Macaca fascicularis: one gene and its partners. The protein of the gene in region 2 purifies or fractionates together with the protein of the main gene of each other region. This does not show direct contact. Links are inferred from orthologs where the notes say so. Each region holds a gene or a part of one and is shown on either strand. Other genes may lie near its edges.

Region 1 (7,409 bases), on a different chromosome or scaffold from region 2:
CCAGCCTGAGTGACAGAGTGAGATCCCCGTCTCTTAAAAAAAAGAAATAAATAATAAGAAAAAATACGAATCCAACATAGGACAATTAAAGTATAGAGTCTATATACATTAACAAAAGTAGGTTTTTGTTTTCTTTTCTTTTCTTTTTGTTGTTTTTTTTTTGAGACAGAGTCTCACTCTGTCACCCGGGCTGCAATGCAGTGGTGTGATCTCGGCTCACTGTAACCTCCATCTTCCAGGTTCAAGTGATTCTCCTGCTTCAGCCTCCTGAACAGCTGGGATTACAGATGCTCACCACTACGCCCAGCTAATTTTTTGTATTTTTAGTAGAGATGGGTTTTCACCATGTTGGCCAGGCTGGTCTCAAACTCCTGACCTCAGGTGATTCGCCTGCCTTGGTCTCCCAAAGTGCTGGGATTACAGGCGTGAGCCAACGTGCCCAGACACAAAAGTAGGTTTAATTCTACAGAATTAAACTGTGAAGGCCAATTTAAAAAATTAAAACAATAGGAACAGGAAATGTTTTTAGTAAAGAAAAATTCCTGAAATGTAATACTAAATTAACTGCATACTGTATAATACCAAAACCAAATTATACCAAAAGTCCTCAGACAATTAAACTTAATAGGTCATGTGTGTTTAACCATTTGACAGGACATTAGAGAATGGTGTTTAATTTATTAAAATTAAGAGAACTATAGTGAGTAAGAATATTTTCCGTTTTCTTTCAATAAACAGAAGAGTTGGGGAGGTTTGGGGGTTTTTTAAATCTAAACCAAAAACAAATTGTAAATACCTCCAAAAAAAATTAATTTGTTCAGGGAAATAATTAAAAGACTGCTTCAAAACTATATTCTTTGCTGATTTCAGGCTAGAAAACTGATGAGCAGATGGCACCAATATAAGTGAATCATTAATGATCTATAAAACCAAATACTATCACTAATGTAAAGAGGCAAACTTAGATCAACTGTTATGAAAATCTCTATAATGTAAGCACATGTAGTTAGAGGATTCAGAGCTTTCTGAATGAATGATGAAAAAAGCAATTATAATCTACTTTTGTTGACCACTGGTAGAATTATTTAAGCTCTCAATACCTGCAACTAAAATATGTTATTAAAAGGTAGGCAAGAATCCTGAAACGTTTCTAAAGTCAAGTTCTCACTGAAAGAATAAGAAAGTTTTCAAATACAGTCATGCGCTGCATAACAATGTTTTGGTCAACAACAGACTCCATAAATGTATGCTAGTGATCCTGTAAGATTATAATGGAGCTGAAACACTCCTAGTCCCTAGTGACATCATGGGCCCTATTACCCTTTTATATGTTTAGAGATGTTGAGATATACAAATACTTACCATTACGTTACAATTGCCTACAGTATTTAGTACAATAACATGCTGTACAGGTTCACAGTCTAGGGGCAACAGGATATACCACAAAGCTTAGGTGTGTAGTAGGCTATACCATCTAATTCTGTGTATGCATAGTCTATGATGTTCACACAATGACAAATCACCTAATGATGCATGTTTCAGAATGTATCCCTGTCCTTATGCACAGCCTGACTATATCATTTAATTTCTTCTTGTAACAATTTAAGCTAGAATGATGATGTGAAAAGTAGGAAAACAATAATATTGGAGAAAAAACCCTAATGCTTAAAAGTACAAAGAGAAATACAGATAACAAGTGCTCACCAGGCCCCGCAAAAGTACATTTAAAAAAATACATTCTGGGCTGGGCACGGTGGCTCACTCCTATAATCCAAGCACTTTGGGAGGCCGAGATGGGTGGATCACGAGGTCAGGAGATCGAGACCATCCTGACTAACACAGTGAAACCCCGTCTCTACTACAAATACAAAAAATTAGCCAGGTGTCATGGCGGGCGCCTGTAGTCCCAGCTACTCAGGAGGCTGAGGCAGGAGAATGGTGTGAACGTGGGAGGTGGAGCATGCAGTGAGCGGAGATCGCGCCACTGCACTCCAGCCTGGGCGACAAAGCGAGACTCCGTCTCAAAAAAAAAAAAAAATTCTGAATCTAGGTTTTATAAATAAGTATATGTAAAAGAGGTAAAATGGGATAACATGTAATAGCTTTATATAAGTATTCATTACAAATTCTCTAAAACTATGTTAACACTCAAGATAATATCCTTGACAAAAAAGATACTTCAACTTCATTCCATGACTCAACCTCTTTCTATACAAAGTCTACTATTGTGATCTGGCAAAATATTTATTAGTGAAATCCACGGTGCAGCCCAGACACAGAGAGCTGGCTGCATAAAAAGGAATACCACAATTCTAATTTCCCTTTCTAGCTGGCTATCAGTGCCAAGCTCTTACACAGAACTTATGAGTTGGAACAGATTCAGAACCCAGCCACAATAGATGTCTCTCCTCCTTCACTTGCTTATAATAAAATGCCATGGAACTAATTTAGTGGTGCCAAGTCTCCCATTTACATTCCAAGAGGGAACTTTTTCCTCCAAATCATACAAATGACCAAGGGCTCTATAATCCTAAACTTAGACAATTTTTATAAAGCATCCTATAAACTTCTAAGAGTGTCTATTACTTAAACATTTCCTTAAGGATGGGCACTAAACTTTCTCTAGTGTCACCAAGTTATTCTCTGTTATAGTTTCATGGAGAAAAATTACTTACTATGAAGCAGAATCATTGAGCTGATATTCCCTGGATCTGCTGAAGCAAGCTTGTACCCCACCATCTCGCCATAACCGTTTAATCACTCCTGCTAGTTCTGGAGTCATGACTCCTTCTTCAGCACTGCCAGCTAAAACAAATAATTGTCGGGCATCATCCTGAAGAAAGCAGTTAAGAAAGAGACAGATGACTCTCCATTTCCTTCAGCCTTGATGACAGTCTCTTTAAAATATACACACATTACATGTTATGTTAAAACAGGTGTTGTTACAGAGACCTTTTCTGACAGGCCAGCATGACAGAATTTATAATTAAGTCTTTCCTCATTCTCATTCCACTACCATTTTAAGTCCAGAACTGAGCTGAGAAATGATTTTACTTCCCCACCACTCCTCCACACATCACCATCCCCAGAAAAGATCATTTCTGGCCAGCCCACAAATCTCCATCCAGATTGCTAATAATTTTTGAGAGAAAAAAACTGGTTTATGAGACAGGCTTATGTAAAACATTCCCGTTCTATTAAAGGAAGCCTACAATAAAAATAGAAATAAAAAGACTAGCACATAAGAGTTAAAGTCTAAACACCTCAAAGGGAGTAAAACATTAATCAAGTTTAAGAAAAAGTATTATCTTCTTTGCCTTCAGCCCAGAGAGCAGAACAAGGAGAGGAGATGGAGGCACTTAAGGAGTCTAGAAGTCTAATGCGGGAAATAAATCCCTCAGGGAAAGATTCAAACAGTCCCTAGATTTCCCTAAAGGAATAATAATAATGTTCTGAGAGAGGGAAAGGAAGGCAGCAGGAGGAAAAGAAAGTAACCAAAACTTCATGAGTCATAGCCACAGTTTTTTTTTTTTTTTTGAGATGGAGTTTCGCTCTTGCCACTCAGGCTGGAGTGCAATGGTGTGATCTCTGCTCATTGCAACCTCCACCTCCTGGGTTCTAGTGATTCTCCTGCCTCAGCCTCCCAAGTAGCTGGGATTACAGGCGTCTGCCACCACATCCAGCTAATTTTTCTATTTTTAGTAGAGATGGGGTTTCACCATGTTGGCTAGGCTGGTCTCGAACACCTGACCTCAGGTGATCCACTTGCTTCAGCCTCCCAAAGTGCTGGGATTACAGGCATGAGCCACCGGGCCTAGACATAGCCATAGTTTTCTAGGTTGTTATAGTTTTTAAACATAAAATATGTGACAGACAGGACAGAAATGGATTATGAGATTTTTATTGTTTTGCTTTATTCTATCCATCCCTACTTGTTGTTTAAAAATAAACACAGGTCTCACAGGATGATTTTCCCAACCACATCTAATATTTATCTACCTTGAGAGATTCCAAATAACTACAAAAATAAAACATTTAAAAAGTATATAACATGTAAAGAAAAAGTAAAGGAGAAAAGGGAGCAATCATTTGTATCTTAAGTAGTCATCAGGACAAGTAAACTAACAAACAAAAGTCATTTCAGACCACAGGTGAACTCACAACCAAAAACTCCAAAGACTCGTGAATTACCAGAACTTGTGCATCCACCTTACCAAAAGAAAACCATCCAAAGTGCATTCAAATTATTGTTGCCAAACTCTGGGTCTCCAGCTCTAATGGTTTTTACCTAGTAATATTTCCTCCTTTATGATCCTTTCCTGTATTCTTTCTAGTAATATTTAGGCTCAACCCACTGTCATTTAGCTTCTGAGATCAGGCGCATTCAGGGTGGCATGGCGGTAGACTAGGCTCAACTCTAAGAAAACTTAGCTGGCTGGGCGCGGTGGCTCATGCCTGTAATCTCAGCACTTTGGGAGGCCGAGGCAGGCAGATCATGAGGTCAAGGGATTGAGACCATCCTGGCCAACATGGTGAAACCCTGTCTCTACTAAAACTACAAAAATTAGCTGGGCGTGGTGGGTGTGCCTGTAGTCCCAGCTACTCGGGAGACTGAGGCAGGAGAACTGCTTGAACCCAGGAGGTAGAGGTTGCAGTGAGCTGAGATGGTGCCACTGCACTCTAGCCCGGGCGACAAAGCAAAACTCCATCTCAAAAAAAAAAAAAAAAAAAAAGAAAAGAAACCTTAGCTGACATCTATATGCCCCTCCCTTTCTTTTCAAAGATAAAATTTTAAACAAATGAAAGAGAAAAGTTGAAATATTAGACAAATTGGCAAACATACTCAACAGTGAGCATGTCCTTCTACACATGCAAGGTATGGTGCTTTAACATTTGAAGTCTTTATAATCCCTTGGTTCTGAAATTTGACCTATACTCACGCACATATTCAAATCATCTTATTAAGCATTACTTAAAAAAAAAAAAAACAAAATACAATTCTAATTTGAGAAACTTCAAAAGAGAGGGAATTATTACTACTTTTTTTGCTGTCCTGACTCTATAAATATTCTTTTAGGAGGAAACACTTTTTTCTTATCACTTAATTTCTTCCACTGACCTGCTCTTGCTTCCCCACAATAAACCCTCTCTAAAGGTCTATAAAGAGGTCCCTCTTGGCCAGGCATGGTGGCTCACGCCTGTAATCCCAATACTTTGGGCAGCCGAGGCAGATGGATCACCTGAAGTCAGGAGTTCGAGACCAGCCTGACCAACATGGAGAAACCCCCGTCTCTACTAAAAATACAAAAAAATTAGGCGGGCATGGTGGTGTATGCCTGTAATCCCAGCTACTCAGGAGGCTGAGGCAGGAGAATCGCTTGAACCCAGGAGGCAGAGGTTGCAGAGAGCCGAGGTCACACCATTGCACCCCAGCCTGGGCAACAAGAGTGAAACTCTGTCTCAAAAAAAAAAAAAAAAAAGAGAAGAGGCCTCTCTTAATAATAAATTTTACACCCCCACACTTAAGCAGATGTGAAAAAGTAACCTATTCCACACCCAGCTCTATTTCTTTTTTTCCATTCACACTCTCTAACCAACTATAAAAAACTAGAGTAGAGGCCGGGAACAGTGAATCACGCCTGTAATCCCAGCACTTGGGGAGGACGAGGCAAGTGGATCACCTGAGGTCAGGAATTCAAGACCAGCCTGGTCAACATGATGAAACCCCGTCTCTACTAAAAATACAAAAATTAGCCAGGCATAGTGGCGGGTGCCTGTAATCCCAGCTACTCGGGAGGCTGAGGTAGGAGAATCGCTTGAACCCAGGAGGCAGAGGTTGCAGTGAGCCAGGATCGTGCCATTATACTCCAGCCTGGGTGACAAGAGCAAAACTCTGTCTCAAAAAACAAACAAACAAACAAACAAAAACACTAGAGGACAATAAGAGAGGAGCTATAAACATTAAACCTTACACACAGAAGGAAAAAAAAAAGAAACATTTAAAAATTATAATATAGGATTACAGATTAGGTTATGTGGACACCAGAAAGCTGGATGATTTAGGAGGCCTGACAGGGATTAATGACGTCAACTGCATCTGGTGACACAGGAGTGTTAGGACCCAAAGATTAATGACAATTATTTGATAACAGAAAGAAACGAGGCCGGGCGCTGTGGCTCACGCCTGTAATCCCAGCACTTTGGGAGGCTGAAGCAGGCAGATTACGAGGTCAGGAGTTCGAGACCAGGCTGCCCAACATGGTGAAACTCCATCTCTACTAAAAATACAATAATTAGCTGGACGTGGAGGCGCACGCCTGTAATCTCAGATACTCGGGAGGCTGAGGCAGGAGAATCACTTGAACTCGGGAGGCGGAGGTTGCAGTGAGCCGAGATTGTGCCATTGCACTCCAGCCTGGGTGACAGGGCGAGAGTCCGTCTCAAAAAAAAAAAAAAAAAAAAGAAATGAAAGGGTAGGGAGATAAATAAAGGAAGACAGACAGTGGGGAATAAAATTAAAGAGGGAAAGAGAAAAGGGACAAACTAAAAGAATCAATAACTGAGATGGAGAAAAAGCCAACAGAGAGAGGGAAGAGAATAAATAACAGTACTACTGACCTGTTATCAGATACAACAAATACAACAGAGAAGTAGAGTTAGGTAACAGGGAGAAATGAGAAATGGGAAAAAGAAAATAAGACCACAGATAGAGCTGGTATGAAGAAGAAAAAGAGGAAAAGAAGGAAAGAAAAGCACGAGGTGAGAGAAGGAATAGGAAAGGGTAAGACAAGGATAAAGGCTTTTTTTTGCTTGACTGCCAAACTTCCCCACTCGGATGCATAGAAAAATAGTTTCTATGTGATATATTTTACAAAAATATAAAAGTCACATTCACATATTTTCTCTTATTTTTTGATACTCATCTCTCATTTTACAATCCCTAATCTAGCTCCTCTTCCTTTATGCCATTTCTAAGACACTTTCCAGTCTAACACTATCCAACTGTGACCACCCTTTCAGTATTTCCCCTCAACAATTTCCTATCTTTTTATCAAATATAAATTCGCATTTGGTAAGTTGGAAGTGGCTTATAAGAGTTCCTAAGCGACTTCATAGACATATAGGTTTTGCCTTTCCAGGCAGACTTCCCAAATCATCTCCTTTTATTTTGCCATGGCACGTAAGTATGACACTCTGAACACAGCCAGTGAGTCCCTTAGATGTAGGAAATAATTCTATAATTTCCCAGCCTTTTCTGGAATTTAGCTGATAGCAATATCAAAGATCTCCTGCCTTCATTTTGGCCCCCTCCCCAATGGCATAAAACATCCTAATTATACATACTCTAATTTTATAAACTAGATCTTCAGGGTCTACTAAGTATTATTATAATTAATAATACAACTTTT
Region 2 (6,667 bases):
AGGTACTATTTTTGGCCTCACAAAGCCTCCAGCCTAGGCAGTGAAATCCCAGCTATAGACAAGTGCAAATAATCCTAGAATTTGCAAATATGCCACAGAAAATATCATTATCTCTTTTATGCCAACCCTCACATCACCACTAGTACTCCCATAGGCGGAGGGGAGACTGGCAAATATTCTTTACCCTGGAAACAAGTGATTCTGACAGACTGCAGATACTTGCCTCAATACAGGCCGACAGCTCCTTAATACAGCTTAGCAGATTTCATGAAAAAGGCTGCTTCCGGGCCGGGCGCGGTGGCTCACACCTGTAATCCCAGCACTTCAGGAGGCCGAGGTGGATGGATCCCAAGGTCAAGAGATTGAGACCATCCTGGCCAACATGGTAAAACCCCATCTCTACTAAAATACACACACACAAAAAATAGCTGAGCATGGTGGCACACACCTGTAGTCCCAGCTACTCGGGAGGCTGAGGCAGGAGAATTGCTTCAACCCGGAAGGCAGAGGTTGCAGTGAGCCAAGATTGCACCACTGCACTCCAGTCTGGTGACAGAGCGAGGCTCTGTTTCAAAAAGAAAAAAAGAAAGAGATAAAGTCGCTTCCTTGAATAAGGAGCACATCTCCAGTGATACTACACGATGCTACCCAGGCACCCACTAGTCCTGTGCAACAGTCATTTGATAAGTCCTAATCTAATGGTCTTGAAAGAGATAATCTTCCAAAGAGACTACAAAATAATTTGTACACTGAAAATATCAAGCACAACTGATTACATATCTGAGTTTTTCCAGAGGGAAAAACACAGAGCTAAGGACGCTCTACTTATTGATATCACAGTGAGGAACCAGAGAAAATACCTCGAATGATTATGAGACTTCTACATGGGATTCTAGTAGGGGAAACCAGGGTCTCTACTTTGATCTTTCTGAGTTGCTGTTCCATTGGCAATATTTTAACTATCTGATGGTAGTGAAAAATCATTTCAATATTTTAAATTTACATTCTTGATTTTCAGGTGAGATACTCTTGGCAATATTTTAAAGGGCACAGTTTTCTATTCACTATGTTTGCTGACATACAGTTCAAATATAGTACAATATAGAAATAAAGAAATAAAATTCCATAAAGAACAAAGGAATCATATCGCAACATAGTAATTCATACCAAGCATCAAGAAAAGAGTGTAAAATAAACTGCAAAAAGCCTTCAGTTGAGCATGGTTAATTTTTTAAGTTTCGGTTATCTGAAATTTGGAACCTGGCCTAAATATTATCTTTACTATTTAAATTTGATTTTGATAAGAACTCAGAACTTTTACACATAAATGACTTGGGTAAAGTTTTGGAGACAACTTACACACACACACACACACACACACACACACCCCAACAACGACAAACATAATTTGGTGTTTTCCAAATATGCTTAATGAAGAGAATCATTAGCAAATATATCCAGATAACTTGTTGTCTTACGTATATAGTTGCAAATCAGCAATTTATTCTAGTATGTGACAGCTTTGCTACAGACTTTTAAAATACAAGAAAACATGGTTATAATCTGTAGCAAAACACTTGATATAACATATCTCAGAGTAGTCTCAAATAACCATTTGGGTAAACTTCCGCCAAAGTTTATGAAAGCATAGTTTTGCAATGCATTTTTTCTTCGCTCAGACTTTCAGTACTATTAGGGCAGTGAAATTCTAAAATGAATTATTGAAGAACATTGTTTTGCAGTATCTATAAAAGAAAAGCTATCTGGTTTCAGTTATTTACTTGCACAACTAAAGCGTCAATCTAGAACAGATTCAGCACCATATCAAAAAGTCTACAGCAACTTGATCTTTTGTCATTTTTAACTGAGCTCATTTGTCATTTTTAACTGAGCTCATTTGACAAATTAATGAATTAACAGAGATCAATTCAAAACGGCTGCTCAGTGACACAATAATAATAAGCCAAATGTCTAGTACATTTAAATAAAATTGTATACATAGCTACTACTTTAAAGTCCCAGGGTAATTGACATGTGAATAAGAGCTCTGTAATATAATTTAGTTTTTTTTTTTTTTTTGAGGCGGAGTCTCATTCTGTAGCCCAAGTTGGAATGCACTGATAGGATCTCGGCTCACCACAACCTCTGCCTCCAGGGCTCAAGGGATTCTCCTGCCTCAGTCTCCTGAGTAGCTGGGATTACAGGCGTGCACCACCACACCCGGCTAATTTTTTGTATTTTATTAGAGATGGGATTTCATCATGTTGCCCAGGGTGGTCTCGAACTCCTGAGCTCAGCTGATCTGCCCGTCTCAGCCTCCCAAAGGGCTGGGATTACAGGTGTGAGCGACTGTGCCCAGCCTATAATTTAGTTCTTTATCTGGTTGTATGCACAACTTGTAGTATAGAGCAGCAAACATTTATGACCATGAGTGTAGCTACCCAATGCTAACTCTGCCAACTGAAAGGTTTGTGGTGTTGGTTGTGGTTGTGATTGTTGATGAGCCATTAACTGATTTATGTTCAGCCTTTCCCTCTGTAATAAGAGGCACTCATCCCACTTTCATTGTTCCATTTACAAAAAAAAAAAATTGTTCCGTTTGCTCATTTATAAATAAAATTCTCTATTCATTTTTCTGCTAGAAATCTTCAAAAAGCGAAGAATGAAATTACCCCTTTTGTGGCCCTCATTTACAATAAAAGTTTGCACACTCCTTCCCCTGAATGCAGTCAGCAGCTCACTCTCACCCCAGCCCTGAACCACATTCCTCAGTTAACATGTAACTCTATACATTCTGTACTTCTCTTGACTGGTAGAATTGGAGGTGTTTACAAAGCTGACAGTACATTAGTTCAGAAACTATGGCAGCAAAAAGGTAAAGCTGGAAGGTTCCTCCACCACCCGGCTTTTCTGTCAACAGGAAAGGCAACACGGAAAGGCGCGAGGCCTTGAGTAGCGTGTGCATCTCGCGGGGAATGCGGTGCCGTTTTAAACCGAGTCCACCTTTACTAGATTGTTTTTGGTCGTCAGTGGAGACGGCTTGCATTTAACCCTATCGGCCACGTCGTTAGAGCTATCCACAAAGAACATCCTGGCAGTACACAGAGAGACTATAATTCTTCTGTACTCCTTCCTGAAATTTTGGTTCAGTAGCCCGTATATAATGGCATTGAGGCAGCTGTTGAAATAGGCCATGTAGTAACTCGCCACAAACAGCCACTCTGGGATCCTAGGCACCATGCTGGCGGGGTCAGAAGCCACGGCCAGGCCAATGAAGTTCAGAGGAGCCCAGCAAATGGCAAAAAGGACAAAAACCACAAACATGGTGACAAAATTCCTGAAGTCCTGTGGTTTCAGCCTGGGTTTGCGGTCAGGCTTCACCCTTTGTCTGACCTGGAGAACCAGGATCCATATTCTCAGGTAACAGAAGATGACAATGATCATGGGGACGAGGAAGTGGAAAACCACCACGGCGATGGTGTAGGCAGAGCTGACGGACTGTGCGAAGGTGCACGAGTAGATCCTCGGGTCGTACTGGAGAGTCCCGGCACGGAGGTTGGGCAGGACAGCCACCAGCGTCAGGAGCCATATGAGGAGCACATAGCAGAAGGAGTTCTTGCTGCTGTACAGTTTGTCGTACTTGAGACTGTGGCAGATGTAGCAGTAGCGGTTGATGGCAATGCCGGTGATGTTGAATATCGAGCCGATGACGCTCAGGCCCATCAGGAACCCACTGATTTGGCAGTGCAGATACCCCAGGTTCCACCCATTGTTAAATATCGACGTCAGCACCAACGGGTACGGATAAACAGCCACCACCAGGTCTGCCACCGCTAAGCTCACCACAAAGATGTTTCCTGAAAGAGAAACGTTTAGAAAATACAGTGAATACCAGTTCACACTGGGTTTTCTGTTACAATTGTTAAAGAAGGAGCTGCTTCTGCCTGCAGCTCTGATGACCTGACGTCACAGCTGCTGCCACACTGCAAATGAACTGGAGGCCATTTCACAGGACGCCAGCCCACTGCCACTCGTGACATATCAAATCCACTGTTCACACGTTCCCGCCTCCCCAGAACAGCCCCTGTTCCCTGTTCCCTGTTCAAAACTACTGTCTTTCAAACCCTTCAGTTTCTCATTTCTTAAAAAGTCCTGAGATCAGAATACTTGCATTCCATCTGTTGTTCTAGAGCCTTCTACATCACCTGAGCAATCTCATATGATGTTATGTCTCAAGCCAGCCACAACTGCCTTAAGTTCAAGTCTTCATTCCCTCTGGAGTCCTGCAGCAGCTCCCAAGGGGCCTCTAGCTTCTGTTCTCGCTGATCCCACAGCGCGGGAGTTACGACCGAGAGGGCTGTGTCATCGGCCGTCTGGATGAGAACACCGCTTCAATCCATACCAACTGTCCAACCGGGGCACGTTACTTGACCTCCCCAAGCTTCTGCCTCCTCTCCTAGATGATGGGATAATGAGCATCTTCCTCTTAGGGCTGCGGTGAGCATGACATGAGACTATCTGTGGCGAGTGCCATGCACCGTGTCTTACACCAGAGAAATGTTCTTATTCTACGACTCCCTCACCTTGAACCAAAGGAAAATGCAGAAATTCTCCTAGATTTTATAAAGAACTTATGTTACAAAACTTAAACCCTAAATAGTCTAACTATTAATTTTCTCAACATAGCAACACATATTTAATTATAGAAAAAAAAAACTCTGGTCACTTTTTTATTTTTATTTATTTATTTATTTATTTATTTTGAGACCGAGTCTTGTTCTGTCACCCAGTCTGGAGTGCAATGATCTGATCTTGGCTCACCCTAACCTCCACCTCCAGGGCTCATCCTCCCACCTCAGCCTCCCAAATAGTGGGGACCACAAGCGCACACCACCATACCAGGCTGGTTTTTGTATTTTTGTAGAGATTGGGTTTTGCCATTTTGTCCAGGCTGGTCTCGAACTCCTGGGCTCAGGCCATCCACCCACCTCGGCCTCCCAAAGTGCTGGGATGGCAGGTGTGATACATTGCTCCCAGCTACGTTAGTCAAATTTTATGAGATGTTCTGCAAATATGGTTTTTCCCTTCTGCGGCTCTTCTGCCTTTGTTTCTTACTATTCCTTCTGCCTCGAATGGCTCCTCACAGCAACTTTCTAAATGTTACCCGTTCTCCCAAGTCTATCTCAAATAGAAATGCCGAGGCCTTTGCTCGTTTGCCCACCTAGAGGTAAGAGTCCACCTAGAGGTAAGAGCCTCCTCCTTTGAAGGGTCTTAAACCACTTTGTACTGCTTTTTACTCAGGTTAAATTACAATAAATTCAATTCAGTTTACATAGTAAATGCATATATTTGGTGCTGGGGAAACAGGAATTGAGAGACAGGAAAAGCCAAAAAAATTACACTAGAGTGGCCAGGAGTGGTGGCTCACACCTGTAATCCCAGCACTTTGCGGGGCCGAGGTGGGTGGATCAAAAGTCAGGAGTTCAGGACCAGCCTCGCCAACATGGTGAAACCCCGTCTCTACTAAAAATACAAAAATTAGCTGGGCGTGGTGACAGGTGCCTGTAATCCCAGCTACTTGGGAGGCTGAGCCAGGAGAATTGCTTGAACCCGGGAGGCGGAGGCTACAGTGAGCAGAGATTGCGCCATTGTACTCCAGCCTGGGCAACAAGAGCAAAACTCCGTCTCAAATTAAAAAAAAGAAAGAGAAAATTACACTAGAGTAAGCAGCAGCACCAGAGCATACACCGAACCAGAAGCAGTGAGGAAAGGGGTGCGCTAGACAGGGACGGAGGGAGCCCCAGGTGGAGGGACAGAAGATTTCGCCTTCTATTCTATTGACCTGTAAGCCAGGCTTCCCTGCCTGACTCGAGACAGTGGCCCTCGTGAGTACATTTCCTCATATTTGCAAATATGAGTACATTTCCTCATATTTGCAAATATGAGTACATTTCCTCATATTTGCGTCCTAGACCACACCCAATAAATACAGTGACTTTTGCTCATACACTTGATGAGTTCATTAAACTGTCACTTCCCAACATTTGAAATGAAACAGCCCATAGCAGTCATGATGAAAGAAAGGTAAAATCTGTGCCATTTATTTAGGAATTTCAGATATATTGTCATAAAAGCAAATTCTTTAAAAATTGGTTGTATTCATCCAAATTAAAGTTACAAAGGCAAGTTTATTTTTCCCACAGATCACTTTCAATTAGTGTTGAAACACCTCCATTCCTAAGAGGCATATTTTAATAAATTATTAGCTCAAAATGTTTAATGCTTTAGAAGTATCTATACTATGTGAAATTCTGTTCCAAATTAAATTATCATTCTAACAGCACATTTTTACCCAGAGTGTCATGATGACAAACTGGCCTAATATTGGATTTATTTTTAAAAGACCTTAAAAATGAAATCACAAATGATGTCGTAAATTTCTTTCATGGCTCGAATACCCTGCTTCATTTATTTTATAGTAATTACATTGCCTTATAATTCAAGTAATTACATTAATTAGATCATTAGTTTAATTCTTTGAATTAATCCCATTTTACAAATGCTTGGTGAAAATTAATTAAGCCACAGACTCCATACAGGTATGGCTATCAGGTAGCTCACATAAAGCTTTAGCACAGGCGTTCATGTGTGCATGGGGAGTGTGTGG
Region 3 (7,409 bases), on a different chromosome or scaffold from region 2:
AGGGCACAGACACCTGCTTGGCCAGGGTCCCAGGGGCTCCTCATTACCAGGTTCCCTTAATTAGTATCAAGGCTACCCCTGCAGGGTCCTACCTCTGCTGCCTGCCTCAATATCCCTGCCATGCCCTGGAGGCTGGTCCGAGGCCTCCAGGCTGCTGCCCAGAGCCGATTTCTCATTCCTGGGGCAAGGCGGCTGGGGCCGGCCCTTGGCTCCCACCAGCAACCAGGCCAAACCAGGCCAGAGGGAAATGATCTCAGAGTAGCAGGGACAAAACAGAAAAACAGGAAGGGCCATGGGGAACCATGACACATGTGCTGTGACCCGCATACCACGCACCGCCCCCTACTGACAGAGCCCTCAATGTGGAGGCACCATGGTGCATTCCACACCAGCCTCTCCCTTTTCCCCAACAGGTGGGTTCACCCCAGGGACCCCCTGCCTCACTGCAATCTTGGAGGGTTGCTGTGATGAGGGGCTGGAGGAGCCCTGCTTCCTGTGGTGTTCCAATCCGCAACTCATCCCTGGGGGGAACTGTCAAGGCATAAACCTGCCTGGGAGAGCAGAGCCTGTGTTCACTCCCAAAACTGTGCTGGGCACACAGTGGGTGCCTAATGTCTGAAGAATGAAGAAAGAGAATGATGGAGAAGCGGGAGGTGGCCTGGAGCTGGCTCTATCCCTGCTCCCTTTGAGTATCATGGGCACCAAGGTCCCTGCTGCTCTGAGCGCCAAGCTCGCTGGTGGCTGGGCCAGAGATCTCAGGGAGGGGCAGTGGTGAGGCCTGGGGCCCCCACAGCATTTAACTGTGACTGCATAGCTCCTGTAGGGGGTACGTATTCACAAGAGCATTCAGGCCATGTAAGGAGGGTAGGAGGAGGCTGTTCATGTGGCTGGCACAGGGCTCAGGACCCTCCTCCTCCCACCTACCCTTGCTGAAATCCACCCTCTGGGTGGGCTCAGGATTGGATTAACAATAGGAGCAAAAGGGTGTTCCAGACAGAGGGGATTGGCTTAAGCAGAGATCAGGGAAGACTAGAGAACAGGGACAGCAGCCTATCTGGTGACACCATCCAAAGCCTGTGGATGTCCCCTGCAGCCATCCTCAATGGCTATCAGCCTGTCTGTCCTGTTCCCCGTGGGTTCCTCAGCACCCTCCACCAGTCCGAGTACATGACAGATACCACAGCGAAGGAGTTCAGAACTGTGGAAAGGGTGCAGACCTGTCATGCCTCTGGGATTCCTGGGACCCCTTGTAATTCCTCAGCTGAGTCCTGGGTTCAGCCCAGAGCCAGCGAGGGTCAGAGGTGAGGTCCAGGGGCTCCGACCTACACACACACCTGTCACCTCCCAGATAACTTCTTCCCCTGTGGCCCCCACCAGCCAGCCTCCACAGCCTATGTTCAAGCACAGCCAGCTCTCCACCACCCCGAGGATGCTGCACATGCTATGCCCCTGCCTGGAATCCCCTCATCCACTCCTCCCCTGGTTGACTCTCCTTCAGAGCTCAGCAATCCTGCCTCTGGGTCAACCCCACCTCAACCTTTTCACTAACATCCTAAATTGTCACTGCATGGGGACTTTGCTCCACTCATCACTGTGTCCTTGAAGCCTTGCACAGGGCCTGGCACAGAACAGGTGGCAGCAAATTTTTTTTTTTTTTTTGAGATGGAGTCTCGCTCTGTCACCCAGGTTGGAGTGCAGTGGCACTATCTTGGCTCACTGCAAGCTCCGCCTCCCGGGTTCACGCCATTCTCCTGCCTCAGCCTCCCGAGAAGCTGGGACTACAGGCGTCCACCACCACGCCCCGCTAATTTTTTTTTTCTTGTATTTTTAGTAGAGACGGGGTTTCACCATGTTTGCCAGGATGGTCTCGATCTCCTGACCTCGTGATCCACCCGCCTTGGCCTCCCAAAGTGCTGGGATTACAGGCATGAGCCACCGCGCCCGGCCTTCTTTTTGTTTTTTTGAGATGGAATCTCACTCTGTTGCCTAGATTGGAGTGCAGTGGCATGATCTCCACTCACTGCAAGCTCCGCCTCCTGGGTTCACGCCATTCTCCTGCCTCAGCCTCCCAAGTAGCTAGAACTACAGGCACCTGCAACCACGCCCAGCTAATTTTTTGTACTTTTAGTAGAGACGGGGTTTCACCATGTTAGCCAGGATGGTCTCGATCTCCTGACCTCATGATCCGCCCACCTCGGCCTCCCAAAGTGCTGGGATTACAGGTGTGAGCCACCGCGCCCGGCTGCAAATGTTCTTTAGAAGAGTGTATGTCAAGACAGATCAGACTCAACTGGAAGAGATGTACTGTATAAGCCACCTGCCTGTCATTCCTCCTGGTCGTTCAATAACGTGTCACCCACCTACCCCCCAAACCAAAAAACACCAAGGCCTTGGTTAACGGTCTTCGGTTTCATGAGCAAAGACCAGCAGTGTCCTTCTGGGGGTTCTCAGGCCCTCCAGTCCAGCCTTTAGTCCTCCCCCAGCCCCTGCCCTGCCCAGCCCAGCCCCTCAGAGCACTCACTAGGCGGCTGAGTCGTTGAGCTGGTATTCCCTTGAGCGGCCAAAGCAGGCCTGCACACCATGGTCAGCCCAGAGCCTCCGGATGACGCCGGACAGGTCATCGGGGAGCACGCCTTGCTCCTCAGCGGTGCAGGACAGTGCAAATAGCTGCCTGGCGTCGTCCTGGGCACAGCGGCGGGTGGTCAGGCAGTTGAAGGAATATACCCCCACCCTGCCAGAGGCAGGGAAACCTCTGGAATGGGGCCCAGGCTAGGGTATTCTTGGATTCCCTAGGATGAGACTTGCCCTAAAACCTTTTTTTTTTCTTTTTTCTGCAATGGAGTCTAGCTCTGTCACCAAGTCTAGAATGCAGTGGGGCGGTCTTGGCTCACTGCATCCTCCACTTTCTGGGTTCAAGCGATTCTCCTGCTTCAGCCTCCCAAGTAGCTGGGACTACAGGCACGTGCCACCATGCTCGGCTAATTTTTGTATTTTCGGCAGAGATGGGGTTTCACCATGTTGGCCAGGCTGGTCTTGAACTCCTGACCTCAGGTGATCCACCTGCCTCAGCCTCCCAAAGTGCTGGGATTACAGGCATAAGCCACCACACCCAGCCACCCTGAAACCTTTTGGGAGGTGGGAGAGGGTGGGGCGGAGGGCACATACCGCTCTGGAGGGGTCGGCAAAGTCGATCTGCAGATTGCCCATGGCTTTGACAATGGCCATGATGGACTGGATGGTGTTGCTGTAAACAACCGCCCGGTACTGCCGGCATTCCTCCTCGGAGTAGCCATCCTCGTGGATGATCCTGATAGCCAGGAACCAGGAAGGTTAGTGTCCCCAGGGCACTGGGAGTTCCCACAGCTGCCTGGGGCTGCTGGGACCTGCTTCAGAGAAGAAAAAACTGCCCCTGACCCACTGGGACCTGAGGATAAGTGACTGCCTCTGAGAAGGTTCTGGGCCTGGCTAAGACTGGCTGGGCCTGTAGTCGGGGGCAGTACAGGCCCAGAGGATGAAGAGGGGAAGCTGGAGTTTGGGCACTGCCTCTGGGATACAGCACTTACTTCATCTGCTTGACGATGGTGCTCTTCCCTGACTCCCCAGCACCTGGAACAGAGGGCACAGGTGGTCAGGGGGCAGGCCCAGAGGGGCTCCACAGGCACAGAACAAATGCCCAGACACCTGTAGCCCAGGAGGCAGAACTAACCATCCTACCAGCTACACTGTGAGATGGAGGCAGCTGGGCCTGGTGGGCAGTTGAGCTATCAGGAATGCAGCTGGCAGGGCCACAGTGGTCAAGGTAACCTAGAGCACCTGTGCCCCATGGCAGACTCTCTGCAGGCCTTTGCCTCCCACAAGCTCTGCTGCCCACCATGGCTCCCCATTGTCCTGGTTGAGTTCAGGGGTCTTGGCTGGAGACTTGGCCAGACCTGAAGGAGTCAACCTGTTCTCACATACATAGGCTCACCAACCTGTGCAGCTGGTGCATGCCAATATGGTACCCTGGGCAGAGCTGGCAGGAAGATGCCCTGCATACTCCATCCAACAGGGTAGCAGCCCTTCTTCTCCCCACACTCTGAGCCTTAGCAATCAGGGCCCTAAGCAGGAGCACAGCGTCACACTTCAGCTTTCTGGACGTGGCCCAATGCCCCGCCCTCTGCTCACGGCACCCAGGTCTGCCCTGAGCAGATGGAGGCTAGAAGGCTAGAATCTGGGAGACCTACAGTTTAACACAGAAACGTACTGACTCATGAATCTGGGAGACCTGCGATGTATTTCACACACCCACACCCACACACGCCCATACTGACTCAAGCTTTTCCCTGGCCTGGTACACCCCTGGCCCATATTTCTCCTTAGCTGGTACTGAGATTTGCTGCATTCTCTCGTGTTAGTCACAGAAGATATTGTTTCTGTTCCCATTCTACAGACAAGGACATTGAGGCTCAGAAAAATAAAATATTGATCTAAGATAATGTAGCCAGGACTCAGAAGGGCAAGAGGGTGGAGGGAACCCATGATGCCAGGTCCACCCTGCCATTCTCAAAATGTGGCTAAGACCCTGCAGGACAATGCCCTGGGGAGGTGTTTAAAAGAGCAGATTCCACCGGCGTGGTGGCTCACGCCTGTAATCCCAGCACTTTGGGAGGCCGAGGCAGGTGGATCACCTGAAGTCAGTAGTTCGAAACCAGCCTGGCCAACATGTCAAAACCCCATCTCTACTAAAAATAACAAAAACTAGCTGGGCATGGTGGCGGGTGCCTGTAATCCCAGAGGCTCGGGAGGATGAGGCAGAAGAATCGCTTGAACCTGGGAGGTGGAGATTGCAGTGAGTCGAGATCATGCCATTGCACTCCAGCCTCGGCAACAAGAGCGAAACTTGGTCTTAAAAAAAAAAAAAAGCAAACTCCCAGGTCCCATCCCAGATAACAGCCAGATCTTGAGGAGTGCAGCCCAGGAGCCTGTATTACCCAGGGAGTCTGTGTGAAGAAGGACCAGGAGGGCCACCCAACTCCCTGGCTAGGGGCCAGAGGGAGTGGAGGCAAGGCCTCACCTTGACCTTGCTCCCTTGCTGCTGGCTGTCTTGAGCTCCAGGTCGAATGGCCCCCAGCTGGGCCCTGCTGTTCTTCCCAGACCCCTCTGCTCCTGCTCCATCACTGCCAGTCAGACCTGCAGCTGCCAGGTACTACCTGTAGCCACCTCCAGCACCCTGCTCATGCTGTTCTCTTTGCTGGGAATATGTGCCCCATGCCCCATTCACAGTGTTTCAGTTCTGATCACTGTGGCACGTCTGTTCCTCTGTACAGCTTAGCTGGGTGGCCAGTGCAGTCTGTGCAGAGGTCAAACTTGGGGACTCAGGCCAACCTTACCAGTATCCCTCGGGGCTGGTCAAAACTACCTCAGAAGAATGAAGGTGCTAACACACAAACAAACACAAGCAGTAACAATAACATCGGCAATATTGACAGCAAAGCTATATGAAAACAGCGCCCACCATGTGCCGGATGCTGTTCTACATCAATGACACCCACCAACTGCCACCTCCACAGCAATCCTGGGAGGTGGGTTCCATTCTCACCCTGCTCTAACCAATGAAGGAACTGAGGTCCAGGGAGGCTGAAGTCACAGGTTAGAGTCCCCTCTGCAGGGAGCGCATTTGTCCACCATGCAGTCCCTCCTAGAACTGTCCTGAGTACCTGGTACTGCAGCGGAGCCACACAGTCCACCTGGCACTGGGTTCACTCCCTGTCTCCCCAGGCAGACTCTGGGCCATGTGCGCAGTGCTCAACAAGCAGCAGCAGGCATTGGGATATGGTGGCAGGCCGTGCCAAGGCCCCTGCCCACCTTCAGCCCCCTACGCCAGAGACCACCCTGAGGGGAAGGGCCTGAACCCTCCTCACAAATGCCACCAGGTGTCTGCAATCACTGAGCTTCTGACTGTCCCAGGCCTGCTTTCCAGGATGAGGGGAGGGGATGTGGGGAGATGGGGAGTGACAGCTAGTTGGGTAAGAGGTTTCTTTTTGAGGGTGGTGATTATATTCTGGAATTAGATAGCAGTGATGGTTGCACAACCTTGTGGACATACAAATGTGCAGGCCCTGGGCAGGCTGGGGCAGCAATCCCCTCTATTGCTTTAGCCCCTGGGCACTACAGGTGCCAGGCCCACTATCTTCACTGGGGTGTATACCAGAGTATATACTAGCACCACTCCCTCCCCATTGGGCTGTGCATGGCAGAGGGGCAGCCAGGATCTCCATACTAACACTCCTCCGCCTGCCAATGGGGATACAGGGAAAGGTCCCAGGAAAGCCTCACAGTGATGCCCCATCACCAAGGCCCATCCCCCTGGGGCTCAAAGCACCCACTGGGGCAGGGAAGGCAGCAGTAGCCACCTGACTATCCTCCTCACTGGCTCCTCCAGAGCAGGAGGAAGAACCAGGAGCCAGTCACAGCCAGGATGGGGGGAACTGAAGGAGCAGAGGCCAAGGATGCCAAGTCATGAGTCTCCATGCAGTCCCCAATGAGGCAAGCCGAGACTCAGCAGGGAAGCTACCCAGGGGATGGGGGACCTGAGGTCTAGGGTGAAAGCTGCCCCCTCTTGTGTGACTTCAGGACTCCTGCCCACTTGAGGCATTAGTTTCCCTATCTGGCCACTGGGAGTGAAGAGGGGGTCTGGCCCTTTGAACACTCTTAGTAGGTGATGTGGGCCGCTTTGTGACCCTGCCGAGGGGCAGTGATGAGGGTACAAACTTGCTTTGCATCTGATTTTCCTAGCAGCAGCTAGACCTGGTAGACATGAGGTAGGCAGCACAGAGCCAGTCATGCTAGGAGCCAGGATATCTGCTCCCTGCCCCAGCCCTGAGAGGGCCCACTTCCCTGTCCCCCTCGAGTTTCAGTTTCCCCTCCTAAGGCCTCTTAAATGTTAAGAGAACATTCTCTACCCCTAGCAGGGGTCACTGAAAAAGACCTCCACTTGACAGGTAAGCAAATCAAGGTCATGGAGCCTCTATCCCTAGACTCAGGCTGGTCTCTTTGTCTTTCCAGCAGCTGTGACTCAGGCGGGAAGTAGTGAGTGGCAGGACAAGGGCGTGGTGCTGGCAGTCAGGCAGGAAGCAGGGGGAACAATGGGACAGAGGCAGGGGCACAGCCCAGGAGCAGCTCCAGCAAAGAAGGGGGCCAGGAGCAGAGGTGGGTGGAGTATGGCATCTGGATGGAATGGGTGGGGTGAAGAGCTCTTGGGCAGCCCACAGGCTAAGTGCTCTGGCAGCTGAGGCAGTAGCCTCACTCTCCACATCTCTGGCTGGGTCCTCTTTCCATCAGGACCTGATGGATATCCCCTACCAGATAAGATGGCATGAGGCTTATCTGTGAGTTTTGCACGCATCCAGCTCCCCTCCCACCTGCCTCTC

Evidence for each region.
Region 1: the proteins of MTNR1A (region 2) and GNAI3 purify together in Homo sapiens (tandem affinity purification; 3 studies listed by BioGRID and IntAct, with this or other methods). This does not show direct contact. The link is inferred for Macaca fascicularis from reciprocal best matches to the Homo sapiens genes MTNR1A and GNAI3.
Region 3: the proteins of MTNR1A (region 2) and GNAI2 purify together in Homo sapiens (tandem affinity purification; 3 studies listed by BioGRID and IntAct, with this or other methods). This does not show direct contact. The link is inferred for Macaca fascicularis from reciprocal best matches to the Homo sapiens genes MTNR1A and GNAI2.

What each region holds. Positions count from the first base shown.
Region 1 is NC_088375.1:124,759,332-124,766,740, forward strand, and holds part of GNAI3 (guanine nucleotide-binding protein G(i) subunit alpha-3), read right to left. Parts: intron 2,834-7,409; coding exon 2,676-2,833; intron 1-2,675. UniProt on the Homo sapiens protein: Heterotrimeric guanine nucleotide-binding proteins (G proteins) function as transducers downstream of G protein-coupled receptors (GPCRs) in numerous signaling cascades.
Region 2 is NC_088379.1:191,295,200-191,301,866, forward strand, and holds the end of MTNR1A (melatonin receptor type 1A), read right to left. Parts: intron 3,858-6,667; coding exon 2,989-3,857; 3' UTR 2,050-2,988; downstream 1-2,049.
Region 3 is NC_088376.1:113,279,716-113,287,124, reverse strand, and holds part of GNAI2 (guanine nucleotide-binding protein G(i) subunit alpha-2), read right to left. Parts: intron 3,607-7,409; coding exon 3,564-3,606; intron 3,308-3,563; coding exon 3,166-3,307; intron 2,683-3,165; coding exon 2,522-2,682; intron 1-2,521. UniProt on the Homo sapiens protein: Guanine nucleotide-binding proteins (G proteins) are involved as modulators or transducers in various transmembrane signaling systems.